Linked DNA regions of Anolis sagrei. The protein of the gene in region 4 interacts with the protein of the main gene of each other region in a pairwise test. Links are inferred from orthologs where the notes say so. Each region holds a gene or a part of one and is shown on either strand. Other genes may lie near its edges.

What was found.
Region 1: the proteins of MTUS2 (region 4) and bystin interact in binary tests that used the Homo sapiens proteins (3 or more experiments, as listed by UniProt). The two-hybrid records come from large-scale screens. The link is inferred for Anolis sagrei from reciprocal best matches to the Homo sapiens genes MTUS2 and BYSL.
Region 2: the proteins of MTUS2 (region 4) and ZMAT2 interact in binary tests that used the Homo sapiens proteins (3 or more experiments, as listed by UniProt). The two-hybrid records come from large-scale screens. The link is inferred for Anolis sagrei from reciprocal best matches to the Homo sapiens genes MTUS2 and ZMAT2.
Region 3: the proteins of MTUS2 (region 4) and EHHADH interact in binary tests that used the Homo sapiens proteins (3 or more experiments, as listed by UniProt). The link is inferred for Anolis sagrei from reciprocal best matches to the Homo sapiens genes MTUS2 and EHHADH.

Annotation. Positions count from the first base shown.
Region 1 is NC_090024.1:191,064,444-191,072,126, reverse strand, and holds the start of bystin, read right to left. Parts: upstream 3,011-7,683; 5' UTR 3,003-3,010; coding exon 2,660-3,002; intron 848-2,659; coding exon 685-847; intron 1-684. Other genes in the region: MED20 (mediator of RNA polymerase II transcription subunit 20), read left to right, coding at 5,822-5,835. UniProt on the Homo sapiens protein: Required for processing of 20S pre-rRNA precursor and biogenesis of 40S ribosomal subunits. May be required for trophinin-dependent regulation of cell adhesion during implantation of human embryos.
Region 2 is NC_090024.1:136,398,335-136,405,622, forward strand, and holds the start of ZMAT2 (zinc finger matrin-type protein 2), read right to left. Parts: upstream 3,011-7,288; 5' UTR 2,942-3,010; coding exon 2,924-2,941; intron 1-2,923. Other genes in the region: histidine--tRNA ligase, cytoplasmic-like, read left to right, coding at 5,847-5,969, 6,535-6,618, 7,014-7,133. UniProt on the Homo sapiens protein: Involved in pre-mRNA splicing as a component of the spliceosome.
Region 3 is NC_090023.1:222,668,704-222,676,112, reverse strand, and holds the start of EHHADH (peroxisomal bifunctional enzyme), read left to right. Parts: upstream 1-4,399; 5' UTR 4,400-4,583; coding exon 4,584-4,648; intron 4,649-7,409. UniProt on the Homo sapiens protein: Peroxisomal trifunctional enzyme possessing 2-enoyl-CoA hydratase, 3-hydroxyacyl-CoA dehydrogenase, and delta 3, delta 2-enoyl-CoA isomerase activities. Catalyzes two of the four reactions of the long chain fatty acids peroxisomal beta-oxidation pathway.
Region 4 is NC_090023.1:31,862,113-31,868,967, forward strand, and holds the start of MTUS2 (microtubule-associated tumor suppressor candidate 2), read left to right. Parts: upstream 1-3,843; 5' UTR 3,844-3,941; intron 3,942-3,951; exon of another isoform or gene 3,952-4,173; intron 4,174-6,855. UniProt on the Homo sapiens protein: Binds microtubules. Together with MAPRE1 may target the microtubule depolymerase KIF2C to the plus-end of microtubules. May regulate the dynamics of microtubules at their growing distal tip.

The DNA of each region.
Region 1 (7,683 bases), on a different chromosome or scaffold from region 4:
GTGGGTCCCCAGGTGTTTTGGCCTACAACTCCCAGAAATCCCAGCCAGTTTACCAGCTATTGGGATTTCTGGGAGTTGAAGGCCAAAACATCTGGGGACCCACAGGTTGAGAGCCACATGTTCTAGTCAATTATATTCCAACTGGCTTCAAGTCTCTAAGTTTGCAGGTAAACAATTAATCTGTTTTTTCTCCCAATCAATATTAGTCAATTAGCTGTAGAGGATGCTTTTTCTGTCAATTTATAATTTGACATCATTAGTCCATTAAAAACCAACGTAATCCCATTCCTTCAGTGGAATTCTGTTTCATAATTGCATATAATACAAACAGTGGGAGTGAGGCAAAATAATAAAAGAAGTAACAGGTAAGCTGGACCCAAACCATTTAGGGCAGTAGTTCTCAACCTGTGGGTCCCCAAGTGTTTTGGCCTACAACTCTCAGAGACCTCAGCCAATTTACCGGCTGTTGGGATTTCTGGGAGTTGAAGGCCAAAACATCTGGGGACACACAGGTTGAGAACCACTACACAAGAGGGAACTAGGGGAAATTTCTCAGCTTTTGTACCAACTTTCCACATATCGCTTAATCCCAGGAACAAAATCAAACAAAACAAAAACCCTAAAAGGGCTCCTCTACCACTAATTTTTCAACCATAAACCAAGATTTGGTCCTTTTGGGCTCACCTCAGTGGTGGGTTCTTATTCATGAACATTTCAATGGCTTTTTCATCCTCAGGATTCACAGTCATCTCCTCACAATACTCTCCCTTCTCCATGGCTGCAGCTTTCTCCAGTGATGGCCATTCCTCGTCATCTGTATCTGAACCTCCATCCTTTGAGTTGGAGCCTAGAAGAGGCAGGTGAAAATTAGCTCTACATGTTTAGCAAAACAAGCAATTGCCTTATTGCCCCTGATCTGAAGAATTCCTGGGGACGATGGCAGCTGTACCAACCTGGAGAATACCAGAGTGGGATCCTAAAGTATAGAATAGGTTCTTATTGTAATCAATGGGATAGTGGTCAAAAGGGTTTTTTTCCAGCTGCAAAGAAGAACTAGTTATGGACATGCATTGAAAATGCATTGTTATCCTTAGCTTCACTTACTTTGACTTTGACCACGCATGGGTAAACTTGGGCCCTTCAGGTGTTTTGGACTTCAACTCTCACAATTCCTAACAGCCTCAGGCCCCTTCCTTTTCCCCCTCGGCTGCTTAAGACACATGACCTTGGAGGCGTACGGTCTTCGGCTTAGAAATGGTGATGAGCATCATCTCCCAGAGTTGGGTACGACTAGACAATGTCAGGGGAAACCTTTACCTGTATAGTATTAGATCTAATTTTAATAGCAACTCCCATGCTACCAGAAACTACAGAAATTGCCATTTATCTATCCCATGACTTAACAGAGAGTCTACTGCAGGGGTCCTCAAACTTTTTAAACAGAGGGCCAGGTCAGAGTCCCTCAAACTATTAGAGGGCCGGATTATAATTTGAAAAAAAAAAAACACGAATGAATTCCTATACACTTAAAAACAATACAATAATTATAATGAAGAACAATTTTAGCAAATATAAACTTATTACTATTTCAATGGTAAGTGTGTGCCTGCTTTTAGCTGATGAGATAGGATTGTTGTTGTTGTTGTTGTGTGCTTTCAAGTCATTTCAGACTTAGGTAGACCCTGAGCAAGGGCCGGGTAAATTACCTTGGAGGGCCGCATCCGGCCCCCGGGCCTTAGTTTGAGGATCCCTGGTCTACTGTATATGGTTGAAACATCTTATGGCAATGCTATGAAAATACAGTTAATATCACCCTTAGTTCATTTACTTGGACAAAATATAGTAGACTCTGAGTTAACCACAACTCAAGCAGCCAGAACTCTCGGGTAACCGGGGGGGGGGGGGGGGATCAAAGAAATAATGTTGTTGAAGGCTTTCATGGCCAAAATCACCGGGGCCCCTTCCACATAGCTGAATAAAATCCCACATTATCTGGGATATATGGCAGCGTGGACTCAGATAAACCAGTTCAAAATAGATATTGTGGGATTTTCTTCCTTGATATTCTGGGTTATATGGCTGTGTGGAAGGGCCCTGGGTTGCTGTGAGTTTCGGGCTGTAATGGCCATGTTCCAGAAGCATTCTCTCCTCACATTTCGCCCACATCTATGGCAGGCATCCTGAGAGATTGTGACATTTGTTGGGAACTAGGCAAGTGGAGTTTACAGGCTTTGAAGCTGCAAGCCCATTCAATGTTAATCAAGGTGACCGATTACAACATTCACACTTGCCTCCATCAGACAAGAGTTATTTCTCCCACTCTGGACATTCCACAGATATATAAACCTCACTTGTCTAGCTTCTGGAACATGGCCAGACAGCCCGGAAAACTCACAACAATCCAGTTAAACAAAACTTTTGCTGTGTTTTGTAACATAACCAATTGGGAAATGACGTTTACAACCCAGAAACAAACATTGTGTTACACAGTGTGATAGAAAGGCAGAGTTAGGCCTATTTTTATTACTTGGCTGTACTGAAGGAGTTGGGGATGATGGCAGTTGTAGTCCATCGCATCTGGAGGATGGCGGGGTGTTTGGTTTGTTTAATCCCAGGATGGGCTTAATAATGTGATGTCACGTGCTTTTTGCCCACTCACCCAGGACGGTGGTCTTCCTCTTGGGCTCCTCTCTGCCGGAAAGGCCATGCTCGGCCTGCAGCTCCTCCTGCTGGATCCGCGCCTGCTCCAGGATCTTCCGGGAGAGCCGCTCGTCCACGTACTTCTCCTCCTCCTCCTCCTCCTCTTCTCCTCCCGCTCCCCCGCCATGCAGGCCGGCTTTGCCCCTCCGCTTCACCCGCCGACTGGGCTTCACCGCCTCGCCCTGCAGGATCTGCTCGGCCAGAGGCACGCTCACCCCGGCCGCCGAGGAGGCCCCTCGCACCCGCTTCTCTTTCGGCATGATCGCCCAGACACGTGGGGGAGAGGAAAGGCTAAGACGCATGCGCCGGAAAGAGAAGGCCAGAAAAGGGGCGGGGCTTGCGACCGCAGGGGCGGAATAGATATAGAGCAGAGCTTTCCCAACTTTTCACGCTTTTGAGACCAATCAGGCGTGGGCAAACTTGGGCCTTCCGGGTGTTTTGGACTTCAACTCACACAATTCCTAGCAGCCGGTAGGGCTCAAGTTTGCCCACATCTCTAATATTTTGCATATACATTTGGAAAATTGTATATGCAAAATATCAGACAGATGGAAAGCTATTTAACCTCAGCAGACTGAAAGCCAAAACCAAGGTGACAACATCTATTACAGAAGTCCAATATGCTGATGATAACATCGTCTGTGCACATTCAGAATTTCTACATGCCACTCTAAACACCTTCGCAGAAGTATATGAAAAGCTTGGCCTGTCATTGAACATCGAGAAAGCCAAAGTGCTCTTCCAGCAGTCACCAGCCAATCCCTCTCCAATGCCAGAAATATAGCTTAATGGTGTAACATTAGAAAATGTTGATAATTTCCACTACCTTGGCAGCCACCTCCCCACAAAAGTCCACATTGACACTTAAATACAACACCGCCTGAGCTCTGTGAGTGCATTTTTACGAATGAAGCACAGAGTGTTTGAGGACTGGGACATCTTGAAAGCATGGCTATTTCAGTGTGCCTTCCCTGAATAAAGGAAACAATGCCCTAATTTGATCAATTTTCTGCAATATGTCCTCTGAAGCACTACCCGTTGGATTTATTTCCCTACATTACTCTCTAACCGCCCCACCCCCCGTTTAGATACCCTACTTCTGTTCACACCCAGTATTTTAAAAATTTAATCTACTACATCCGGCCTTTCCCACAGTCTTTTAAATCTCTTGTGTGTTACTGCTTATATGTTATTTATGATATTGTACTGTGTTTTATTTGCTTGCTTGCCTTGTTTTCTACTGATGTATTTTGTTGGGCTTGGCCTCATGTAAGCCGCCCGAGTCACCTTGGGGAGATGGTGGCAGGGTATAAATAAAGTTATTATTATTATTATTATTATTATTATAAACTAGCTGTCCCCTGCCACGTGTTGCTGTAGCCCAGTCTGTGCATATGTGTTTTGTGTGTGTGTATATATGTGTTTATGTATGTGTATATATTTGTGTATATAAGTGTGTGTATATATGTGTATTTATATGTGTGCATGCATATTGTGTATATGTGTGTGCTTGTCTATATGCATATTTGTGTGTGTGTGTGTGTGTGTATATATATATATATATTATTTATTTTATTAATCAATTTTATATACTTCCACTCGCCGAAGTCTCGGAGCGGTTTACAATATACACAAGAAAAACTTTGATCAACAAAATTCAAATGCCACCCTAAATAAATAAGTTTTACAAGCTCTACGAAAAGCAAGTAAATCTCGGAGAGCTCCTGTTCCTGCTGGCAAAGCATTCCATAGATAAGGAGCCACCACCGTGAAAGTTCTACGCCTAGTAGACATCAGGTGAATGGTCCTAAAATTGGGAACTTCAAGGAGATTCTGATCGTCTGAACGAAATATTATGTGGATATGTATATGTGTGTGCATGTGTATATGTATATCTGTGTGTATCTGTGTGTATGTGTATGTATGTTTGTGTATATGTGTATATCTGTGTGTGTTTGTGCATATATATATGTGTGTGTGTATGAATGTGTGCATGTGTATATGTATATGAGTGTATGTGTATCTGGACACATTGACAAGCTGGAATGTGTCCAGAGGAGGGCGACTGGAGAACAAGCCCTATGAGGAGCGGCTTAATGAGCTGGGCATGTTTAGCCTGAAGAAGAGAAGGCTGAGAGGAGACATGATAGCCATGTATAAGTATGTGAGAGGAAGTCATAGGGAGGAGGGAGCAAGCTTGTTTTCTGCTTCCATGGAGACTAGGACGCAGAACAATGGCTTCAAACTACAAGAAAGGCGATTCCATCTGAACATGAGGAAGAACTTCCTGACTGTGAGAGCCATTCAGCAGTGGAACTCTCTGCCCCGGAGTGTGGTGGAGGCTCCTTCTTTGGAAGCTTTTAAACAGAGGCTGGATGGCCATCTGTCAGGGGTGATTTGAATGCAATATTCCTGCTTCTTGGCAGGGGGTTAGACTGGATGGCCCATGAGGTCTCTTCCAACTCTATGATTCTGTGTATATGTAAATATGGTATTTTTGGGGGGGTTTTAAGTCTGTTCGGCTGGGGTTTTGTGTGTGTTTGTGTGTGTGTTTACAGGTGATGGTCACACGTTGGACTGTTAGGTGTATTGTGTCTAAATTTGGTGTCAATTCGTCCAGTGGTTTTTGAGTTATGTTAATCCCACAAACGAACATTACATTTTTATTTATATAGATGAAATACAATTTTAAACCTAAATATACGTATATATAAAGTAGATCTTAGGAAGTTGTTTCTTGATTTAAAACGTCAATATGCTGGCTGATATCCGAACAGAGGATGGGCCGGAGGTGTCAATACTTTCCTCCCTACAGGAAAGCCTGGCTCCACTTTCTTTTGCTGGATGGGCAATGCAGGACCACCTGAGTTGGAGGTGGGCCTGCATTGCCTGCTCCGGCCGCCAGGGGGCCGCTTCCGAGAGGAGGCGGCGAGGACGACACTCGCCCGCATTCCCCGCGATGACGTCACTTCCTTTCGGCGTTCTTCCCTCCGAGGAGGCGAGGCTGTGTGAGGCTCCGCGAAGACCGCCGGGCAGAGGGCGCTGAGTGAGGCTGAGAAGTCTTGGGCCACCTTTCCGCCCGGGTTCACGCCTCCCCCGCGGAGGAGACAGCCGAGGAAACATGGGTGTCACCTGGTACGGCTTCCCAAGGCTGCTGTAGCCTTAGCCAAACATTTTACCTTGAGACCGTTGCATGTTTTTGCTTCTCAGTGTCGGCCAAGATGGAGGCCTGCTGCGATTGTGCTTGGATGTACATTCGTTTCAAGAATGAGGGGTCGGGTATGGAGTGTAACGTGTGAACGAGCGAATGACGAGTGTCAGGGGCAGGAGAGGGACCTGGTGACAGGTAGGGTTACTACAGGCATGGGCAAACTTCGCCCCTCCAGGTGTTTTGGACTACAACGCTCACAATTCCTAACAGCCGGTAGGCTGTTAGGAATTGTGGGTGTTGTAGTCCAAAACACCTGGAGGGCCGAAGTTTACCCATGCCTGAGTTACTAAATCTCCTCAATGTAATGCCAGGGGAGTATCTGCCCCTCATCCGAATTGCTTGGCGCCAGACAAGTTTGCGATTTCAGGTATTTTTGTGTGTGGGATTTTTTTTTTTTTGCATCGCCTAATTGCTAAGCCTAATCAAACCAGTCATTTATGTTTCACGTACACATAACATGTATATGAAACATAAATGTTGTGTTTAGGCTTGGCTCCCATCTTCAAGGTGTTAGTAAATAAGATATTGACACCACCTGCATGTAACACAGGTATGGAGAAACCCACGCCCGGGAGCCGAATGCGGCCTCTTGGACTCTTTTTGCAGGCCCTCCTCTCGCTCACCATCCTATCCTTCCTTCCTTCCCTCTTTCCTTCTGCCTTTCCCCCTTCCCTCCTACCCTTCCAGTCTTCTGTCTTTCTTCCCTCTTTCTCTCCCTCTTTCTCCTTCCTTCCTTCCCTTTTGTCACAGGGAGGAGGGAGCAAGCTTGTTTTCTGCTTCCCTGGAGACTAGGACGCGGAACAATGGCTTCAAACTACAAGAGAGGAGATTCCATCTGAACATTAGGAAGAACTTCCTGACTGTGAGAGCCGTTCAGCAGTGGAACTCTCTGCTCCGGAGTGTGGTGGAAGCTCCTTCTTTGGAAGCTTTTAAACAGAGGCTGGATGGCCATCTGTCAGGGGTGATTTGAATGCAATATTCCTGCTTCTTGGCAGGGGGTTTGACTGGATGGCCCATGAGGTCTCTTCCAACTATGATTCTATGATTCCTTCCCTCTTTCCTCCCTCCCCGCATTCCCTCCACCCTTCCTTCCATCCATCCTTCTCTTCTTCCCTTTTTACCTTCCTTCCTTTTCTTTTTCCTTCCTTCTTTCCTCCTGGGGCATGTTTACCTGGGGGAAGAGAAGGTAGAGAAGGAACATGAGAACCAATTTTCAAGATCTAAAAGGGTGTCCCATTGAAGAGGAGGGGGAAAACCAACTTTCTGCTGCTCTAGAGACCAGAACACAAGGAAGCAATGGGTTCAAATGGCAGGGGAAAAGATTAGGAAGAATTCCTGAAAGTAAGAGCTGTTGGAGAGTGGCCTAGGCTGCCTGGGAGTGTGGTAGAGTCTCCTCTGGAGACTTTTCCGCAGAGGCTGTCTGTCGGGAATGCTTTAATTGTGCCTTCTTGCTTGGCAGGGGGTTGGACTGGATGGCCCTTGAGGGTCCTTTCCAGCTCTAGGATTCTATATCAGGAGTATGCAGTATGGGGTCTAATAGATACACTTTTTCCTCTCGTATCCACCTCATCCTGACCAAGGCTAACCTTTTGGGATCCAAATGTTTCCCATCTTTCCTTTGCTTTCTGCCTCCGAAAGAGAAGAGGAAGGGGAGGAAAGGGCAGGGAGGGGACTTGGAGAGAATCCCCCTGCTCCTGGCCTGCCCACCCTGCTCCAGCCTGCCATGAGGCCCCCAAGTTAGAAAGTTTGCCCATGCCTGATGTAACATATTG
Region 2 (7,288 bases), on a different chromosome or scaffold from region 4:
GCAGTCTTTTCATCAATGATGCCGTTTTCGTGCCCCACAATTATTGTATTAATGGCATACAGAATGTAAAAGAAAATAGCAAAAGAGAATAAAATGCATATAATACAGGTATGCCATTCCCCCATAACCTCTGGTCCCACTCTGCGAAACAAATATCTAAAAAAAACAACCTCTATTCTTGTCTTTGCATTCATAAATGTTCTGAGTTTTCTTGACGCTGCAGAACTTATGAAGTTCTTCCAAAGAGGGCAACCAATGATTCTCTATGCAGTAGTGGTGACCCTTTGGCGTGCCTTCCTATCTGTCACTGTGCAGTTATCAAGTCATGCGCAGATATAGTAGGTTAGGGCAGTGGTAGAAAGTCATCCACAGTTTTTCATTCAGTTGTTGGTTCCTTAGACATCTCAGGTAGTACAGTCTCTCCTGGGCACTCTTAACCAGCGCTGCTGTATGGGTGTCCTAGCTCAGATCCTCCTTAACAGGGATACCCAGGAACTTAAAACTGGCCACCCATTCCATTTGGTCCCCATTTATGACGAAGGGCTAAATTTCTGGTCTGTTCTTTCTGTAGTCTACTATGAGCTCCTTCGTTTTATTGATTTTAAGAACCAGATTATTGTCCCTGCACTAATGATTCCAAATTTCGGTGTATCTCAGATTTCCGAATCCTGGATAATAATAGTTCAGGAGGATACAGGTTTCTGTTTTGAGCTGTATCAAATACAATGTTATTAAAAACATCTCATTCTCCCTCAGGGCCCATCAACACAGCCATATAACCCGGAATATCAAGGCAGATAATCCACAATATCTGCTTTTAACTGAATTATCTGAGTCCACACTGCCATATAATCCAGTTCAATGTGGAAGGAACCTCAGTCCACAACTTCAGAAGATTCTGATGCAAATACAGCTTTATAGGACTTGTATTTAAAAAAAATATTTTACAGATTTGAACAAGAGTATCAAGGCTATTTCTTTATTTACTACTAGCTGTACCCACCACGCTTTGCTGTGGCCAACCTTCCCTCTTTCTCTCCTTCTTTCCCTCCTTCCTTCACTCCCTCTTTCCTTCCTTCCTTCCCTCTCTTTCCTCCTTCCTTCCCGTCTTTCCTTCTCTTCTTCCTTCCTTCTCTATCTCTTTTCTTCCTTCCCCCTTTTCCTTTCTCTTCTGCTGTCTCTCTTTTCTTCCTTCTCTCTTTCCTTCACTCCCTCTTTCTCTATATCTTCCCCGCTTCCTTTGCTCCCTCTTTCCTTCCTTCTTTCCCTTTTTTATTTCCTTCTCTAACTTTCCTTCCTCCCCCCCTTTCTTTCCCTCCCTCTTTCTTTCCTTTCTTCCTTCTCTACCTCTTTCCTTCCTTCCTTCTCTCTTTGCTTCCATGCTTCTTTCTCCCTTTCCTTCTTTCTTTCCCTTTTTTCTCCCCTTCCCTCCCTCTTTCTTCCCTTTTTTCTGTATTGTCTTTAGCTTTTCGTCATTTAGCTTTTTGGGGCTTTTTAAGTCCCTTCTGCTGTGTTTTTCAGTGTTTTTATGAGTGAAGGACATACATTGGGTTGTTAGGTGTATTGTGTCCAAAGTTGGTGTCAATTCGTCCAATGGTTTCTGAGTTCTGTTAATCCCACAAACAAACATTACATTGTATTGTCAAAGGCTTTCATGGATGGAATCACTAGGTTCTTGTGGGGGGGGGGGGGTTTGGGCTATATGGCCATGTTCTAGAGGCATTTTCTCCTGACGTTTCGCCTGCATCTATGGCAAGCATCCTCAGAGGTAGTGAGGTGAGACAAGAGGGATCCTCTCACCTCTGCAGGAGTCTACCGTATACCATGCAGCTGTAGACAAGTCTACATAGGGACCACCAAACACAGCGCCCAAACACAAATCAAGGAACATGAAAGGCACTGCAGACTACTTTAGCCAGAGAAGTCAGCCACACCAGAGCACCTGATAAACCAGCCTGGACACAGCATATTATTTGAGAACACAGAAATGCTGGACCACTCTCACAACCACCATGTCAGACTACACAGAGAAGCCATTGAAATCCACAAGCATGTGGACAATTTCAACAGAAAGGAGGAGACCATGAAAATGAACAAAATCTGGCTACCAGTATTAAAAAAACTCTAAAATTACAACAGCAAAACAGCAGAGAGAAAACAACCAGGCACATCTTAACACCTCTCAACAAAAGATTCCCCAAGGCTCAGCCAGGCCTTCAAATGCTAATGAAGGCGGTCAGTTGAAACATTCACACCTAGCTCCAGCAGAGAAGAGCTCTTTGCCTCACCCAAGTCATTCCACAGATATATAAACCCATTTTCCTAACTCCAACAGATCTCACTACCTCTGAGGATGCTTGCCATAGATGCAGGAGAAACGTCAGGAGAAAATGCCTCTAGAACATGGCCATATAGCCCGAAAAAACCCACAAGAACCTGAACATTACATTGTTATTTATATAGATATTTCTTTTACTATACTTGTATACCGCCTTTCTCAGCCTATCGGCGATTCAAGGCAGTATTTAGAACACACATCCTCCCATTTTCTGGGCCTCCAACTCCCAGAATTCCTCGCTACTGATCAAGATGGCTAGGGCATCTGGGAATTGAGACTCAAACAGCGGGAAGGCCGTAGTCGGAAGATGCCTTCCCTAGAATGTGTTAGGAGTGTCAAGTGCGGGCTTTAAAGCGCTTATCTCAAGTCAAGAAGTGCAATACAAAGCCGCTGAGGAGCCGGGCCTTTCTCTCGGCGGCGTCCCAGAAGCCAGGAGCCCTTTCCCGCACCCGTTGGGGGCCTAAAAGCGGAGCCACACCGGAAGGCCCGCCGCCCTGCTCTCCCTGAGGGCCATTACAGCTCCTCGGGACAGAAAACCGGGCAGAAAAGGCCTTCCTTGCCTTCTAAATCAAGTCCACCACTTACCCCACTGCCGGACGCCATCTTGCCTGTGAAGCGTCCCGGAAGCCGGAAAACGTCGCGCAAACTGGGGCCTGCCGTAAAGCGTACTTCCGGTTGGTCCTTTCTAGCCAGAGCGTCCTCACCCAAGCTGCAGCTTTCTCTATGCTTCCTGGGAAGCCTTTTCGCTCAGGAGAGGTAAGGAAAGGACGTGTCTTAGAGCGTGTTTGTGCCTCAGAAAGGAAGCTTATAGCTTTGCCTCGAGGGTGAGGCAGACAGAAACCCTTCAAGCTTTTAGCCTTCACGTGTTTCTCTTTCAAGTGAAAGCACAGCCTTGCTTCTGGCTCCAACTCCCAAGTCTGTCTGTGCAGCAAAAGGTCCTGGAGGCCTAGTGGCAGGTGCCCTTCTACACAGCCCAGAATATCAAGGCAGAAAATCCCACAGTATTTGCTTTGAAGTGGGTTATCTGAGTCCACACTGCCATATATTCCAGTTCAAAGCAGATATTATGGATTATCTTCTTGGAGAATGGGAGAAGTTCCAGCACCAATGTGGTCCCAATCTTCAAGAAGGGAAAAAAGGATGACCCAAAGAATTACCACCCGGTCAGCCTCACGTCGATACCAGGCAAGATTCTGGAAAAAAATGTTAAGGAAGTGGTTTGCAAACACTTTGAAACAAATGCAGTCATCGCTAATAGTCAACATGGATTTATCAAAAACAAGTCATGCCAGACTAATCTGATCTCTTTCTTCGATAGAGTTACAAGCTGGGTAGATGCAGTGAATGCCGTGGATTTCAGTACCTGGATTTCAGTAAGGCCTTCGACAAGGTCCCCCACGACCTTCTGGCAAACAAACTAGTCCAATGTGGGCTTGTCAAAACTACGGTGAGGTGGATCTGTAATTGGTTAAATAGACGAACCCAGAGGGTGCGCACTAATGCTTCCTCTTCATCCTGGAAAGAAGTGACGAGCGGAGTGCCACAGATTTCCGTCCTGGGCCTGGTCCTGTTCACCATCTTTATTAATGACTTAGATGAAGGGTTAGAAGGCAGGATCATCAAGTTTGCAGACGACACCAAATTGGGAGGTATAGCCAATACTCCAGAGGACAGGAGCAGGAGTCAAAACGATCTTGACAGATTAGAGAGATGGGCCAAAACTAACAAAATGAAGTTCAACAGTGACAAATGCAAGATACTCCACTTTGGCAGGAAAAACGAAAGGCAAACATACAGAATGGGGGACAATGCCTCGCTCGAGAGCAGTATGTGTGAAAAAGAGCTTGGAGTTCTCATTGACAACAAGTTAAACATGAGCCAACAATGTGCTGTGACGACAAAAAAAAGGGCCAATGGGATTTTGGCCTGCATCAATAGGAGCATAGTGTCTAGATCTAAGGAAGTAATGCTACCCCTCTATTCCACCTTGGTTAGACCACACCTGGAATATTGTGTCCAATTCTGGGCACCACAATTCAAGAGAGATATTGACAAGCTGGAATATGTCCAGGGCGACTAAAATGATCAAGGGTCTGGAGAACAAGCCCTATGAGGAGCAGCTTAAGGAGCTGGGCATGTTTAGCCTGAAGAAGAGAAGGCTGAGAGGAGATATGATAGCCATGTACAAATATGTGAGAGGAAGTCACAGGGAGGAGGGAGCAAGCTTGTTTTCTGCTTCCCTGGAAACTAGGATGCGAAACAATGGCTTCAAACTACAAGAAAGGAGATTCCATCTGAACATGAGAAAGAACTTCCTGACTCTGAGAGCTGTTCAGCAATGGAACTCTCTGCCCTGGAGTGTGGTGGAGGCTCCTTCTTTGGAAGCCTTTAAACAGAGGCTGGATGGTCATTTGTCAGGGGTGCTTTGAATGCAATATTCCTGCTTCTTGGCAGGGGGTTGGACTGGATGGGCCATGAGGCCTCTTCCAACTCTATGATTCTATCTCCCCAAGGGGACTCAGAGCGGTTTCCAAGTAACATAATCAATCCATACAAATAAAACAGCATAAACATAACATTAACAAGACAATATAAGCATTAAAAACCACAATAGCACATATATTTAAAATAATCCTGCCTGTTCAAGGAAGTTTAAAAGGCCGGGCCAGTGCAATTTTAGAGGGCCCAGGAAATTAGGTAGAGTCTATGGTCATACATTTCCAGGGCCTAATAGAAGAAAGTGACCTGGGTAATTGGAAGAAAAAGATATGGCCAATTTCAACAGTATCTGGGTTATAGCTAGAACTAGTTATTCTCAAAGGTTTGTTTAAACCACCAAGTCTTCAGGCTCTTACAAAAGGAGGGGAGAGATTGAGCCTGTCTTATTTCTCCAGGAAGGGCATTCCACAGGTGGGGGCCACCACCGAGAAGGCCCTCTCGTCCCAACCAACCGTGCTTGGAGCGAAAGGAGGGCCTCCTCGGAAGATCTTAAAGTTTGTGCCGACTCATCGTTAACGACTCATTGTTAAGAACGGGGAGGGGGGAGGTGAGACAACAGGAAGTGAAAGAAATCTACCGCCAGGAAGGGAAATTCACTCCTAGAAGAGTTACCATGGAGAAAAGGGGTATCCAATGAAGCCTTCCAACCAATCCTTGTTTCCACAACAAACCATTTTTTTTCACACAGCCATATAACCCAAAATATCAAGGCAGATTATTTCACAATATCTGCTTTGAACTGGGTTATCTGAACCACATTGCCATGTATTCCAGTTCAAAGCAGAAAATGTGAGATTTTATTCAGCTGTATGGGAGGATCTCCGCCATTAGTCTGTGTGACTTTGCAAAATAGTTTTCTCATTGTTGGATTTTATGTCTTGCTTTTTCTCTCTGTTCTTCATGCTGGATACATCACAGATGCATCTTTCACTGATCAGAATGCAAAGGCTTCCTCTCCTGTGCTGCTCTGAAGATTTGATATGCCCAGTATAGGAAACATTGCTGGCAGATGCTGTTGAAACTCCTCGACATGTATTGGATAAGCTTTTTCACAAAGGCTCTGTATAGGAGACAGCTTATGCCAACGCAGTTTTGGGTTCAAAGGACACTTTCCAGCCATCTACCGAACAAGGTGCATCTCGTTTACCACAATTCTTCTACAACTCTTGTAGCTTTGAGTTTAGAAGTTTCTTCCTAGCAGCATTTTGGAAATTTACAAATAAAAGCCAAATTAACCTGCTATTCAAGCTTCTGCGGGGTTGGGAATGGGCTGGAACATTGCCACCTTTAGAATGTTAAGAATTTAGGACTTCTTGAGATCTTAATCTGTCCTTACCATTTTGCACTGATATGTCAGCTGTCTTATATTAATTGAAATCTGTAAAACGAACATAAAAAAGAGTTATTCATATTTCCAATGTAGTATTACATTTGTCTGTTGCAACAAAAACAACAAATGATCCTGTGCTGCATCAAAGCCTAACAGATATATTACAGCCTAATCATTAAGGAATTATAGCCCACTTTATCAAAGGCATACTGTCTTACCCAGAATTTCGAGTAGATTTAGTACACATGTTTGAGGATAGCACAGTAGACACTGAAGTCAGAAAGAACTCGCATGTCCATGTTATAATACATGTGTTGGTCTTTAAAGTGCCATGGCATCCTTTTTATCAGATTTGCTTTGCTCTCAGGTGACTGAAGATGTGGTAAATCAACCATCGCCACAGCTGAGAGATGCTGGAGGAAGAGGAAACATAATTCTCAAAACCCCCAAGGTAATAGCCCATCTGTGTTCTGCTTCCTCTTCCAGAGTCCCCTTCGAGCACTGCTTAACTCTGGTACTTCCTTTAACGGAACAAGCCGTACCATCATCCTTCCAGATGATCTTATAGAGCACTCAGCCCCTTTACCCCATTAGCTTAATCTACTGCTTTTTCAATTTTCCCCTCTCTTCCAATCATTTTCTATTATTTTTAGCAGTACTTGATTCTCGTTAGAAGATTTTTTGGCACAGAATCAAATGCTTAGTATTAAACAATTGAAGCATCTGGAAGCCCTTCAGCTGTTGGCTGCTGTTACTATTTCAGCTGTGTAGTTTTCATCAAGCGTTTCTTTTTTTAAAGAAACATCTCTTCTAAACCCCCATCTTTTCTTCGGTGTGGACTTTCAGGGCACCAGGGATTTCAGTCCAAAGCAGATGGCCATCCGTGAAAATATCTTTGCCACCATTATCAGCTGCTTCAAGCGCCATGGAGCTGTGACGATAGACACCCCTGTGTTCGAGCGGAAGGTGAGGATGGATCAGTATTATTTTGGAAGTGCTAGTGGCCTTTTTGTCTGACAAGAGCTTCACATTTCTAGAGTCTTTTTCTGCTAAAGGCTGAAATTCTACACAAAGGCTGTTTTAGTTTTATTGATTTCAACAGAACCATAGCAACTTAACTG
Region 3 (7,409 bases), about 190 Mb from region 4:
AAAGACATTTGAAAGGGATTTACCATGCCTCCCTCAGTGCTGTACAAACAAGCATTAGATCTGATGCTACTACTGTTGTCTTTGAGAGATTGTCCACCAGTGTCACAGAAATCCACCTACTGTTGCCCAGCAGCTGTTTGGCACATTTTGTCTGGCTCTGCAGCAAAAGGCTGTCTAACACGAAAGACCCTATCGGCAGCACTGCTACTGTCAGCATAGCCTCAGAGAAGCACACAATCCTACCACTATGAAAAGATAGTGCCATGGTGGGATTTGTAGCTTGCACTCATATAAATTGAGGTCAGTCACATCTTTTGTCAGTCCTAGCCTGAACCAACACACACACTGTCCCTTGAAAACACAGTGTGCTTTATCTATAATCTGATGTCCTTGTTTACTTCATAGCTGAACAGCTGGCTAATGCTAAGCACAGAGCTGAGTAAAATTACACACAGACACACCCATTTTCTTCTATTTAAAAAACCAGATATTTATTTATTTATTTATTTAAAACATTTCTATTCTGCCCTTCTCACTCCAAAGGGAATTCAGGGCGGAGAACAACATATAAATGGCAAACATTCAATGCCGGGACATAAATATACATATACATAAACATTAGAATCACTTAACTCAATGTTAAAATCCTGTTTAAAACCGTCTCAATATTGTATGTAATTGATTACACTATGTAACATGATTTTTGTTCCTGGGTTATAAATGTCATTTTCCTCATTGGTGCTATCATAAAAACATGGGTAAAGTTTATTAAACTGGAAAAGCTTTGTTTTTGCGGTCTGCACAAAAGGTTAAAAATGGCACATTGAAAGGTTAAAAATGACAGCCACAAAAATGAAGTTTCTGGAGTATAACAACTACTTTCGAAGTAAGTAAAACACAATTAAGCAGGAAATAACAGTTTCAAACCAGGAACATATTTTTTTTTCAAATTTTGTTACATAGTGTTAGTAACATCACCCAGAAAGAACAAGCAGTTGAACTATCAGATTGAGGAAAATAAAAAATAATTTGAAATCATTTATAAAAAAGAACTCCTCAGCAAGTAGGAGCTGATGTGGCAGGAACATGAATCATGGTCTTTCCATTAAAAATTCTGCTTTGGTTCTGTTTAAATTGTTATGTCTGCATTTAAATCAGTGTGTGCCACTTTTGTACAACATTTGTGCTATTTTCTTTTTGGGAGTGTGTGCATCAGAGACCATTTTAAATGCCAATATGTGTATGTGCAATCACATGCTGCTTTATGGTGAACTTCATGAATGTCATAAAGTTTTCTTAGGGTGCATCTACATTGAAGAATTAATGCAGCTTGATACCACTTGAATTGCCATGGCTTCGTGTTATACAGTCCTGGGAGTTGTAGTTTAGTGAGGCACCAGCACCATTTGGCAAAAAAACAAAAACAAACTAAAGACATTGTAAAACTAGAAGTCCCATGACCCCATAGCATTGAAACTGACTGTTAAAGCAATGCCAAACTGCATTCATTCTATAGTGAAGATGCATGGAATAGAGAAGTGATTGTGCAGTTTCTTTTTTCCTGAGGATGCATCTACACAGTAGAATTAATGCAGGATTGTCATGTGTTTTCCAGGCTGTATGGCCATGTTCCAGAAGCATTCTCTCCTGACATTTTGCCTGCACCTGTGGCAGGCATCCTCGGAGATTGTGAGGTCTGTTGGAAACTAGAAAAATAGGGTTTATATATCTGTGGAATGTTCAGGGTGGGAGAAAGAACTCTTGTCTGTTGGAGGTAGGTGGAATGTTTCCATTGGCCACCATGATTAACATTTAATGGCCTGGCAGTTTTTAGGTGTGGCTTGTTACTGCCTGAGAAAATCCTTTTTTTTTTTTTTGAGAAAATCCTTTGTTGAGAGGTGATTAGGTGTTCCTGATTGTTTCTTGTCTGGAGTTCTCCTGTGTTTGAGTTTTGTTATTTATTTACTGTTATAATTTTAGAGTTTTTTTTAATACTAGTAGCCAGATTTTGTTCATTTTCATGGTTTCCTCCTTTCTGTTGAAATTGTCCACATGCTTGTGGATTTCAATAGCTTCTCTGTGTAGTCTCATATGGTAGTTATTACAATGGTCCAGCATTTCTGTGTTCTCATAGGATGTCCAGGTTGGTTCATCAAACGCTCTGCTATGGCTGACTTCTCTGGTTGAAGTAGTCTGCAGTGCGTTTCATGTTCCTTGATCCGGTTGGTGGGGACGAGGGAAGGGGCCTTCTCGGTGGTGGCCCCCTACCTCTGGATTGCCCTCCCCAAGGAGATAAGGCTGGCCCCATCCCGTAAGAACTTGAAGACTTGGTGGTTTCATCAGGCCTTCAATAATGACAAGTCTCAAGCCCTTGGTCCAACAGTTAGGACTTGGCCTTGTACCACATCCATTCCCCAGTTCCCTGTCATTTGAGGGCACCTTTTCTTCCAGCCAATACCTTTTATTATAGACCTTTAATTGGCCCTGGAATTGAGTGGCCCCAGTTCCCTAGTAGGGCCATTGCTGAGACTGATCCTTGTACTGTAGCATTTAGCTGGCCCCATTTTTCTCTTCTCCTTGCACTAGCCTTGACCCAGCCCGTTCCAAATAGTCCAGGCCCCTTATTGAAATCTGTTCTCCTGGCAGCTTACCTTGCATGAAGAAGAGAGTGATTTTTAAATTGATTTTAATGTATACGCTGTGTTAACAGTTTATGCCTATGTTTTTGTTTCATATTGCACGTTTTTGTATTATTTTGCATATGTGGAAACCGCTCTGAGTCCCCTAAGGGAGATAGGGCGATATATAAATAAAGTTCTGTTATATTATTATTGATGCGTATTTGGCATTGCTTTTGGTGGTCCCTATATAGATTTGTCCAGAACTGCATGGTATACTGTAGACTCCTGCAGAGGTGAGAGGATATCTCTTGTCCTTTGCTGAATGTAGCATTTGTTGGATTTTCTTAGTGGGTCTGTAGATGGTTTGTTGGTTGTGTTTTTTCAACAGCTTCCCTATTCAATCAGTGGTTCTCTTGATGTATGATAAGAACACAGTTCCTCTTGCAGTTTAATAACTGCAATCGTGCAGTGCTATGCATTTTTATAAGGTCCTTCGCCTCTTTCACTAAAAGAGCGCCATGACAGTCAAAGTGCTGTCAAACTGCATTAATTCTACAGGGCAGATGCCTCCTAATAACAGTGAGAGCTGGCTCTGTGTAGAAAATAATAGGATTTAGGGCAGTGTTTCTCAATCTGAGGGTCGGAACCCCTGGGGGGTCATGAGGGAGTGTCAGTGGGGTCACCAAAGACCATCAGAATACACAGTATTTTCTGTTGGTCCTGGGGGTTCTGTGTGGGAAGTTTGGCCCAATTCTATTGTTGGTGGGGTTCAGAATGCTCTTTGATTGTAAGTGAACTATAAATCCCCCTTTGTGGATTTATAGAACCCCTTTGGCAGAGAAGGCTGAGGATCTCTCCACCTGATCTTCTCTTCTTTTTTGGAAACAGACAGAGAATCCTCCCACCAAAAGCTCTCGTCTTCTATGATTGGCTGGCCTCTCAGCCAAGGGAAGGGCTGTTTCTAAGACTCCAAGCAAAGAGCGGAGAGCAGGCATGCTCCACACATGGCAGTGTGGTGCACATGTACAGGCATGGAGAGCATGTGAGGCTGGAGGAAGGCTCATGCCAGTGAGTCCCTTCAAGGCATGGGGGTTCTATATGGGAAGTTTGGCCCTATTCGATTGTTGGGGGGTTCAGAATGCTCTTTGATTGTAAGTGAACTATAAATCCCAGCAACTACAACTCCCAAATATCAAGTCTATTTCCCCCAAATTCCACTAGTGTTCACATTTGGGCATATTGAGTATTAATGCGAAATTCGGTCCAGATCTATCATTGTTTGAACCCACAGTGCTCTCTGGATATAGGTGAACTACAACTCCAAAACTCAAGGTCAATGCCCATCAAGTATTTTCTGTTGGTCATGGGGGTTCTGTGTGCTAAGTTTGGTTCAATTCCATCGTTGGTGGAGTTCAGAATTGTAGGTTGATTGTAAGTGAACTATAAATCCCAGCAACGCCAACTTCCAAATGACAAAATCAATCCCCACTCCAACCCCACCAGTATTCAAATTTTGGCGAATCGGATATTTGTGCCAAATTTGGTCCAGTGAATGAAAATACATCCTGCATATCAGATATTTACATGACGATTCATAACAGTAGCACAATGACAGTTGTGAAGTAGCAACGAAAATAATGTTATGGTTGGGGGTCACCACAACATGAGGAACTGAATTAAGGGGTCGTGGCATTAGGAAGGTTGAGAACCACTGATTTCGGGTGTATCTCCTTTTACGTGATTCCAGCCACTCCAAGGCTCTGTCTGCAGGGTGGGTGCCTTCATCCTGGTTAAAATTCAACCGAGAGTCTGGGCTCCAGCAGAAAGCCTCCTCCACCCATTTGCGCGCCTGCCCATCCGGGTCTTCCGCTTCCAAGAGGCCCCGCCTCCTCCCTCGCCTTCTCGCTGCCCGTCAATCAAGTCTAGCGTTCTCCTGGGGCGTCCGAGGCTGGTCGCGCGACGATGGCTCAGGTCCTGCGAGGCGTGCGCGTGATCAGGGTCTGCAACCCGCCCCTCAACACGCTCAGGTAAGGGTCGCCAGAGAAAGACCCATGCTATGGGATTCTGGGAATTGTAGCTTGGTAAAGCACTTGCATTCTGGCAGAGAAGGCGAAAAACCTTGCAAAACTTCAACTCTTATGATTCCATACTATCAAACCATGGCAGTTTGACAAGCTCTGTAGCTTTCTCTGCCAAAGGGTAGTGCTGCTGCACGAAACTACAATTCCCAGGATTCCACAGCCATGGCAGGTAAAGTGACTTGTAAATCACAGTGTAAATCAACCCCTAGATCAGCGTGATAGTAGGGTGCATCTATACTGTAGACTTAATGCCATCTGGCAGTACTTTTAATTGCCATGTCTCAATGCTGTTACCATGGGATATGTAGTTTGGTGATGTATCAGCACACTTTTGGCCAAAGAAGGCGCAAGGTCTGGTGAAATTACAACATCCATGATTCCAAAGCATTGAGTTGTGGTAATTAAAGTGGTGCCTAACTGCATTCTACAGCGTAGATCAGCCTTTAGCAAACTTTGTCCCTCCAAGTGTTTTGGACTTCAACTCCCACAATTCCTACCAGCTGGTAGGAATTGTGGGAGCTGAAGTCCAAAACACCTGGAGGTCCAAGGTTTGCCCAAGCCTGATGTAGATGTCTGTCTGTAGCACAACAAAAGCAGGATTCTAGCAAACAGTGCATATGGATTGTGAATGCTGTGATTGTATATCTTGCTACTTTGGAGAAACCATGCAGCCATGCATGGTTTCTCCAAAGTAAGTCCTTGCTCCAAAGTAAGTCCTTGCTCTGGAACACAGTCCAAACCTCTTGCATAATTGACCCAGGGAGAACCTATCTGAATCAATGCAGTTTGGTACTACTTTAACTGCCATAACTCAGTGTTATTGAATCCTGGGAGTTCTGGTTTCACCAGGTCTTTAGAGTGCTGGTGCCTCACCAAACTACAGATGTAATCTTTTAGTAGCATTGAGCCACAGCAGTGAAAGTGGTCAAAATGCATTAATTCTACTTAATGAAGCCCTATTGTTGGATGCCACTACACGAGAGAATTAATGCGGTTTGACACCACTTTACCTACCGTGGCTCAATTTAGTTTTACAAGACCTTTCGTTTTCTCTACCAAAGAGTGCTGGTGCCTCATTAAATGGACAGCTATTCAAATTCCATAGCATTGAGCCATGGCAGATTTATTTTTATTTTTTTGTCGTGTCAGGAGTGACTTGAGAAACTGCAATTCGCTTCTGGTGTGAGAGAATTGGCCATCTGCAAGGATGTTGCTCAGGGGATGCCTGGATGTTTTGATGTTTTATCATCCTTCTGGGAGGCTTCTCTCATGTCCCCGCATGAGGAGCTGAAGCTGATAGAGGGAGCTCATCCGCGCTCTCCCCGGATTCGAACCTGCAACCTGTCAGTTTTCAGTCCTGCCAGCACAAGTGTTTAACCCACTGCACCACCGGGGACTCTGCCATGGCAGATAAAGGGGTGTCAAACTGCATTAATTTGACAGTGTAGATGGGCCCATGAAGTCACTGTTTCACCCAGCAGGGAAAAGTAGCCATGACCCATCTTGAAACCACATATAAGCAAAGCAGATTATAGCTTGGATTACTTCTGGAAGAATATTCCTCACCACTGAAGAAGTAGTAAATCATCATCTGAAAAATCCCCGTAAACCAAAAGAATCTTGATTAATTTTTGTTGTAATCAGTAATGTTGTAATGGCAGGAGAAAAGTTGGTCATGGGTTGAGGACAAGTTAATATGTAAGCACAAAGATATCATTTCCCCCAGACTTTGGATACTAGTAGATTGGGCATAAAATATAGGATTCTCATTTATTATTAAAAGTTTTTTTAAAAAAATTTATATAACAAAGCATTTTGGATGTGAAATCTTTCTATGGTCTTTGAGCTGAGTGATTGCTAAAGAGCTAACAGATGTATTATGCCATTACCTACAAGTCATTACATGCATGGAGTTTTATCCAGAATTTCAGGTATACTTCATTGGCGGTGGAATGATTGACAGTGAGGTTGGAGAGGGAATTAAAGGGCCAAAGTACCAATGGTTACGTTCAAAAAGTGGCCATTCATAAACATGGAATTCACGTTGCCTATCAAATGCAAGGGGCCACAGTAGTGCAGCGGGTTAAACCGCAAAGCTGCAGAACTTGCTGACTGGAAGGTCAGTGGTTTGAATCCACAGGACAAGATGAGCTCCTGTTGTTAGCCTCTGTCAACCTACCAGTTCAAAAACATTCAGATGTGGGTAGATCAATAGGTACCTCTCAGATGTGAAGGTAATGATGCTCCATGCAGTCATCCCGGATGTAAGGGCAATCTGGCTGCAACATCTGTCACCCCACTGATTGTCAGGGTTGATTCGACTGATCTGGCTGGCTAGGCGGGTGTCCCCTTCCTCCCTCACTGCTCCATGTGCATCCCTCCTGAAGCTATGCACTCGGTGGAAGAGGATGATGTCCCAGGTATAGAAGGAGTGTACCGAGGTCTCCAGTCTTTGGTCCCGGGTATACAATATATGCGCTCCCCTGCTAGAGCCTCCAAACATGCTGGCTACATGACGTTGAAGGGTCTACTGACAAAGCCGGCTCTTCGGCTTAGAGTACCCCCCCCCCCCGAGTTGAACACTACTAGACTTAATGTCAAGGGGAAACCTTTATCTTTACATCAAATGCAATATACATTTTAAAAATCCACATATAAAGGGAATTCAAATTCATATTTATTTGAGTTCATTCAAGTGCTTCTGTCC
Region 4 (6,855 bases):
TTCCAGATGTTGTTAGACTATAGTTTCCTAACCAGCATAATAATCAATGATAAAAATGCTGGTAATTGTAACCCAACAACATCTGGAGAGCCATGTGATTCTCACTCTTAATTTAGATTTAAGCAAACTGTTTCAAAGCAGCAACAAAAGCTGCTATTTATGGAAATGTGGGAATTTATTCTGCAAGGCATCTTGGAAAGGTTACTCCTTTGGGCTACAACTCCCTGAAAATCTGTCAATCTGCTTCACTGCTTAAAAACTTTAAATACTTATTCCTCACTAAAAACAACAACAACAACAACAAAAAACAATCTTCAGTACAGTCTTTACTCTTCATCTTGGGTGAACATTAAAAGCGGAGTCATTTGGCTTCTTTCATTTCTCTGAATTTTGACCTGATTAGGCAGTACTCCAGTGCACAACTGCCCTAGCAATAATGAGAAGGGTTGCTCCCAATTTAATCACTACATGACTGGACACACCACCAGCTACAGCAGAGCGCCCATTCTGCAAGCAAAACTATGTTCTGAATCCATATAGCCTTTTTGTATTTCTTGTATCAGATTAAACTCCTGCTGTGATAAGATGCCCAAGCAGATTTGACTCCTGTTTCACACGTTTTGACTCTTGCTTGACATTAGCAAGGACATTATCTTGTGAGTACAGAACTTGAATTTTTCCATTCAACTTACTATTTTTTTCCCTGGTAAAGCATTCCAAAAGGCTGAAATTGGAAGCATTTACACTTTGAAAGGTCCTTGTTTGAGTCTGAATAGCAAACACATGCTTTTGGTGAAGTTGTTTCCAATGCCTTCTTTTGTCAGCTGGGCAGTGAATCTGCTTGAACTGGGATTTGAAAGGAACTCTCCAAGGTGCTGAACCTATTTTGAGACTAAGGTTCAGAACCATGAATAGCTCCTTTAAGGTGGAGTAGGCGGTTCATTGCTACACTGTCATGTGAGCTAAGAGTTGCCAGCCATTCTTTATCCCAGAATAAATGTTCTCTCAGAATGCCATTGACAGAACTTGAAAGTAGCTACTTACAAGTAACTATTTGTAATGAATTGTCAAAGGCTTTAATGGCTGGAATAACTGGTTGTGGCAGGTTTTTTGGGCTGTGTGGCCATGTTCTAGAAGCATTATCTCCTGACGTTTCTCCTGCCTCTATGGCAGGCATCCTTAGAGCTTGAGAGGTCTGTTGGAAATCAATTTGTAATTTGTAATGAATTTCTTTCTATAACAGTTAAAGTTTCAAGTAACAATTCTAATTTGATGAGACATAGCTTCATTCCTTTTACAATAGATCTGAAACTTTTAGGGTTATTTTTTGTTATAGGGTATGATCTCTCTAAATGGTGGAGGAGGAATATTATATAGCTGGTTTGTGATCAGTTGTCCCCAGCTCTGCTGTTATGTGGAGATGATGGTAGATGGGAGGAGACTCTATTTTGTATCAGAGGCTAGCATCCTGTAGCACCCGTATTAACACACACACACTCTCTCTCACACACCAATGTACTTTTCAATTACTTTCTAAGAAACTGTAACTTTGAAAAAACTATAACAGTAAATAGTAGCGCTTGAGTATAGTTCTTTAAATTCCACATTATGAGAAATGTTCTGATCAATCGAGCCAGATCTAGCACACAATGCCTGCTCTACCTCCAACCAACCTACTCAGGTCTTGCAGACTGAAGTCTTGAAGACTCTTGAAGACTCTGAAGACTTAAGTGACTGAGAAGGAAAAGGAATTGTGGGAGTTGAAGTCCAAAACACCTGGTGGGCCCAAGTTTGACCATGTCTGAGATATATTGAGCATGGTGATCAGATCATGATATGAATAAACATGGAGCTGCTCCATTCACCCTGTGATATGGATATGGAGAGGGGGAGAATGGATAGGAGCACATATGAGATAAGGGCCATCTGGACTGGGGGGAAACAAAACTGTAAGATAACAATGATGGGAATGAAATGTAGCCAGTAGGAAGGGGAATGGGTTAGGGTAATGATATACAAAGAATTTGGTGGGGAATCTTCAGGACTGTCTTCCTATTGCCAATGGTAAGACAGAAATAAAGCTGTATCCAAGGATTTGCCTTTGTGGATGTGCTCTTATTCCAAGAGCTTTCAGGTTCTGACAGGTTGGAGGTAGAGAAGGCATGGGCCCTCCAGGTGTTTTGGAGTTCAACTCCCACAATTCCCTCAGCTGCTCTATCTCCAGCCAACCTACTCAAGTCTTGGAAACTCAAGTCTTGCACACTCTTGCCGACTTAAATGGCTGAGGGGAAAAAGGAAAGGGCACAAGGCTGTTAGGAATTGTGGGAGTTGAAGTCCAAAACACCTGGAGGGCTGGAGTTTTCCCATGCCGGTGATAGAGTGACTTGGAAGTCTCTTATTCATGGGGTTACCATAATTTGGATTGGTGGCAAACAACAACAACAACAATGCTATTATCTCCAACCAAGCTACCCAGGTCTTGCAGACTCAAGACTATGACTTCTTTGACTGATTCCATCTATGTGTAATGTAGCTTTCCTCTTTTACTACTGCCTTCTACCGTGTTGGTGAGTAGGAAAAGAGATTTAAATATGGGCTCAAAGCCAACCTTAAAAACTCTGGCATAGACACTAAGAACTGGGAAGCCCTGGCCCTTGAGTGTTCCAGCTGGAGGTCAGCTGTGACCAGCAGTGCTGTAAATTTTGAAGAGGCACAGATGGAGGGTAAAAGAGAGAAACATGCCAAGAGGAAAGCGCGTCAAGCCAACCCTGACCGAGACCACCTTCCACCTGGAAACCAATACTCTCACTGTGGGAGAAGATACAGATCAAGAATAGGGCTCCACAGTCACCTACGGACCCACCGCCAGTACACCGATCTTGGAAGACAGTCTTACTCGGACAACGAGGGATCACCTAAGTAAGTACCTTACCAAGTATTATTATAATTTTTTTATTGAGTTATGTCCTTTCATGATATGACCCAATCTCCATTTAGTCACCTTGGCATCTAATTTTCAGCCTTGATTTGCTGTAGAACCCATAGATTTGTCTTTTTTGAAGTCCACGTAGCTTTCCTCTTTTCCTACTGCTTTCTACCTTACCAAGTATTATTATAATTATTGTCGAAGGCTTTCATGGCTGGAATCACTAGGTTCTTGTAGGTTTTTTCGGGTTATAGGGCCATGTAGTGAGGTCTACCTCTGAGGATGCTTGCCATAGATGCAGGCAAAACGTCAGGAGAAATGCCTCTAGAACATGGCCCTATAACCCGAAAAACCTATTATTATAATTTTCTATTGAGTTATACCATCTCATGATATGCCCCAAACCCCACAGTCTCTGTTTAGTCACCTTGGCATCTAATTGATTTGCTGTAGGTCCCATTGATTTGCCTTTTTAAAAAAGACCACAGTCTCCCTAGGAGCATAATTCCCCATTTCCAAGGTGCACACACCCTTCTCTTTCACAACCCTGAAACACTCCCAAAAACTCCTACATTCGCTGCCATAGCAACTAACCCACACAGATATGGGCCATATTTGGACTCCCATCTGTCTTTGGGAAGGGAGGGGGTCCTCGCAAGTGGAAGCAGCCTTTCTCTGCTTGTTTGTGAGCCCTTCTGCCCTTTCCAGCCTCCATTGGGGGGTTGGAGGGGATGGCCCTAGTGGTCTCTCTCAACTCTATGAGTCTGTGGGCTGATTGGGCGACGGATGGGCCTCGGATCCACACATCCTCCATGAGGAAAGCCCAGGCGAGAGGCGACAGGGATGGTTCAATAGTCCTGGATGGCCGGGAATAACCTCCCAGTCCGAGGGGACGGGAGCGCACAGCAGTCCGGGGAGAGGCTTTCCCTTTGCTGCCGGCGGAGGGCGCTCTTGCTCCCCCATTTGGACGCCGCAGTGGGGAGAAACAACCCACGGAAGGAGCCCAGCGCTTTGTGTGAGTGTGGGATTGCGCGCGTATATAATATGAGCTCTTCCCCAACATCCCTCTCCGCCGGAGCTGCTGCCACGCGTCTGGGCGGGATGTAATCTCGAGTGGGAGGGAAGGAAGGAGCCACGTCTCGGAGGGGAAACCGAGGGGGAGGTGGGCGGGGAAGGGTGTGTGCGTGCGTGTCTTCGGGTCCCTTTGTCCTGCCGAGGGGAGGACAGCTCCGTCGCAGAGCCAGCAGGTAAGTCGCTGCTCTTCTGGAGCATCCTTCCTCCGACTTGGGTCTTGGGTACCAAAGCTGGAGCAGGTCCTTCTGGCAAGGTGGGAAGCAACTGCGCGTGGGACTTGGAGCGGGGGCCACTTCAGGGGTCTTTCCTTCTGCCCATTGGGAGGGTAAGGGTTTGGGGAAAGTGCTGCCTTCATGCCGGGGAGCCCCTCCCAGCCCCTCCGACTCTTTCAAGGGAGATTGGATTCCTCCTGCGCAAGTTTTGGAAACCCTGCCCTTGAGTGTTTTCCTCCTTCGCCTTCAGCCACTTGCTATCCCAGAGGGGAAGCTTAAGACTCTAAATTAGCCGAATAGACACCGAAAGGCAGGCACAGAAGCAAAACAACCCCACGCCTGTCTCGCCCCCTCCCTTCCCCTCCGCACATTGTCCCTTGCCATCACTCACCTATTCTTCCCCAGTTTTCTCTCTCTCTTCTGAACGGGACAAGAAGGCGGTGGCCCTTTGCACACCAGCCTGTTATCTCTTCTTAGCATCCATCCTCGTTGTCATCCCCCCTCTCCATGTCTTTGTAGAGCTCTCTGTGTATTGAGTCTTTTTATAGCAGAGGAACCAAACTGAGGAGCAGGATTGGATTTATTTTTTTGTAATGTCAGGGGTGACTTGAGAAACTGCAAGTCGCTTCTGGTGTGAGAGAATTGGCTGTGTGCAAGGACGTTGCCCGGGGGACACCCGGATGTTTTGATGTTTTACCATCCTTGTGGGAGGTTTCTCTCATGTTCCCACATGGGGAGCTCAAGCTGAAAGAGAGCTCAAGCTGAAAGAGAGCTCATCCGCACTCTCCCCAGATTCGAACCTCTGACCTGTCGGTCTTTAATCTTGCCACTGCACCCCCAGGAGCTCCTAATGGGTTTGGTCATCAGAAAGCTCTTTCCAGTTGTCCTTTTGGACTGCACAAGAGAGAGTTGTGCATCTGGGTGATGATGGGGAGAGGGAAGGAGGTTGATGAACTCTTATATACCTTCCTTTCTGGCTGCAACAGGCACTAACTTCAAATGTTTACCTGCAATATATGTGTATGTTGTTGACTTTACCCATGCTGGTTGTTTACAGATGTCACATGCTACGCTGGTCAATTGGCTGGCTTGTGTTCTATATGTTTTTCAAATCACGCATTTTCCAATGTTGGAAATGAAGATCAGAGAGTGGTGGTGGCTTGAAAAGGCTTTGCACAAGTGACTTTTCCGTGCTTTTCTCCAGAGATAATCTCCCAAAGGATGTATTGCATGGATCAGTGTTGTCGAGCTTGGAGGTGGGAGGAAGGTGGAATAGAGACTGGGATCAAGTGGTAGATTTACAGATGATTGGTACTGAGATTCCAATGCACAGTGATTTCATAATCGCAGCATGAAAAGACTTCCAGATTTGCCTGCCGAGATGGAAGAAAGCTTGGGCAGGGATCCAGGAGTGGGTTTGCATATGACATGCTTGTGTGAGCTCAGTGCTGGTACTGAAAACAAATGTCAGGGTAGTACATGTGCCCGGAGGCACTCCACCCTCTTCGTTCTAATGCTTGCTATACAATTCTGTTGTCTCCCCCAGTTACCCACAAACTCCAGAGCCATTGTTTTGCACCAGGATCCACTTGGTAGCCATGTCTAGGGCACAATTCTGGTAGATCAACAACAAAAACAAAGTAGACTCTGTAGCCCTGAAGTCTGAGCATCCCATCTCAAATTTCATCATAGTGATATAGTGCTAGCTCTACACAAGCTGCTGTTTTACAGTTCCAGTGCCCATTCTCACCTGACAGATGGGAATAATATTATGTCTTGATCTATCTTCAGTGTTGTTGCATTATTATTGAAGTCATGTCTATAAAACACTACATACTTCCTTTTCTCCTCTCTGTTATTGTTGCTGCTGTTATTTGAAAATGCCAATTAACTGCCTGCAAGTATTTTTCCTATCATAACAACATACATTGGAGCAGCTGCTTCATACTCCAACTCAGGAAAAATAGTTTTGCTGTCCTTCCCATATCTTTTAATTTATTTTATTTATTATTTATCATATTTATACCGCGCCCTTCTCTCCCCAAAGTGGACTCAGAGCGGCTTTACACATAGGCAACAATTTGATGCCATCAAAACGACATATAGTTAAAATAAACAATTACATTAAAACCAAGAAATCAAACATCTAAACATTATACCAACTGTGAAAACCACGCAATCCACAATTGTAGTCCAGAGCCATTCCAGTAGTCATTGCACATATTTTGTATCCATTTATTGCACTACAGTTGTTATCTGAAGGCTTGGTCCCAAAGCCATATTTTTGCTTTCTTTCTGAAGGCCAGGAGGGAGGGGGCTGATTTAATATCACTGAGGAGGGAGTTCCACAGCCAGGGGTCACCACTGAGAAGGCCCTGTCTCTCGTCCCCACCAAGAGCACCTGCAAAGAAGGTGGCAAAGAAACCAGGGCCTCTCTGGTCAATCTTAACCTCTGTGATGGTTCATAGAGGGAAATACATTTAGACAAGTAAGCTGGACCAGAACTATTTAGGGCTTTATAGGCTAAAGCCAGCACTTTGAATTGTGCTCAGTAGCAGACTGGCATCCAGTGCAGCTTTAACCCCCCCCCCCCCCCCCACAAACAAGCAAGCAGACCTCACAACCTCTGAGGATGCCTGCCAT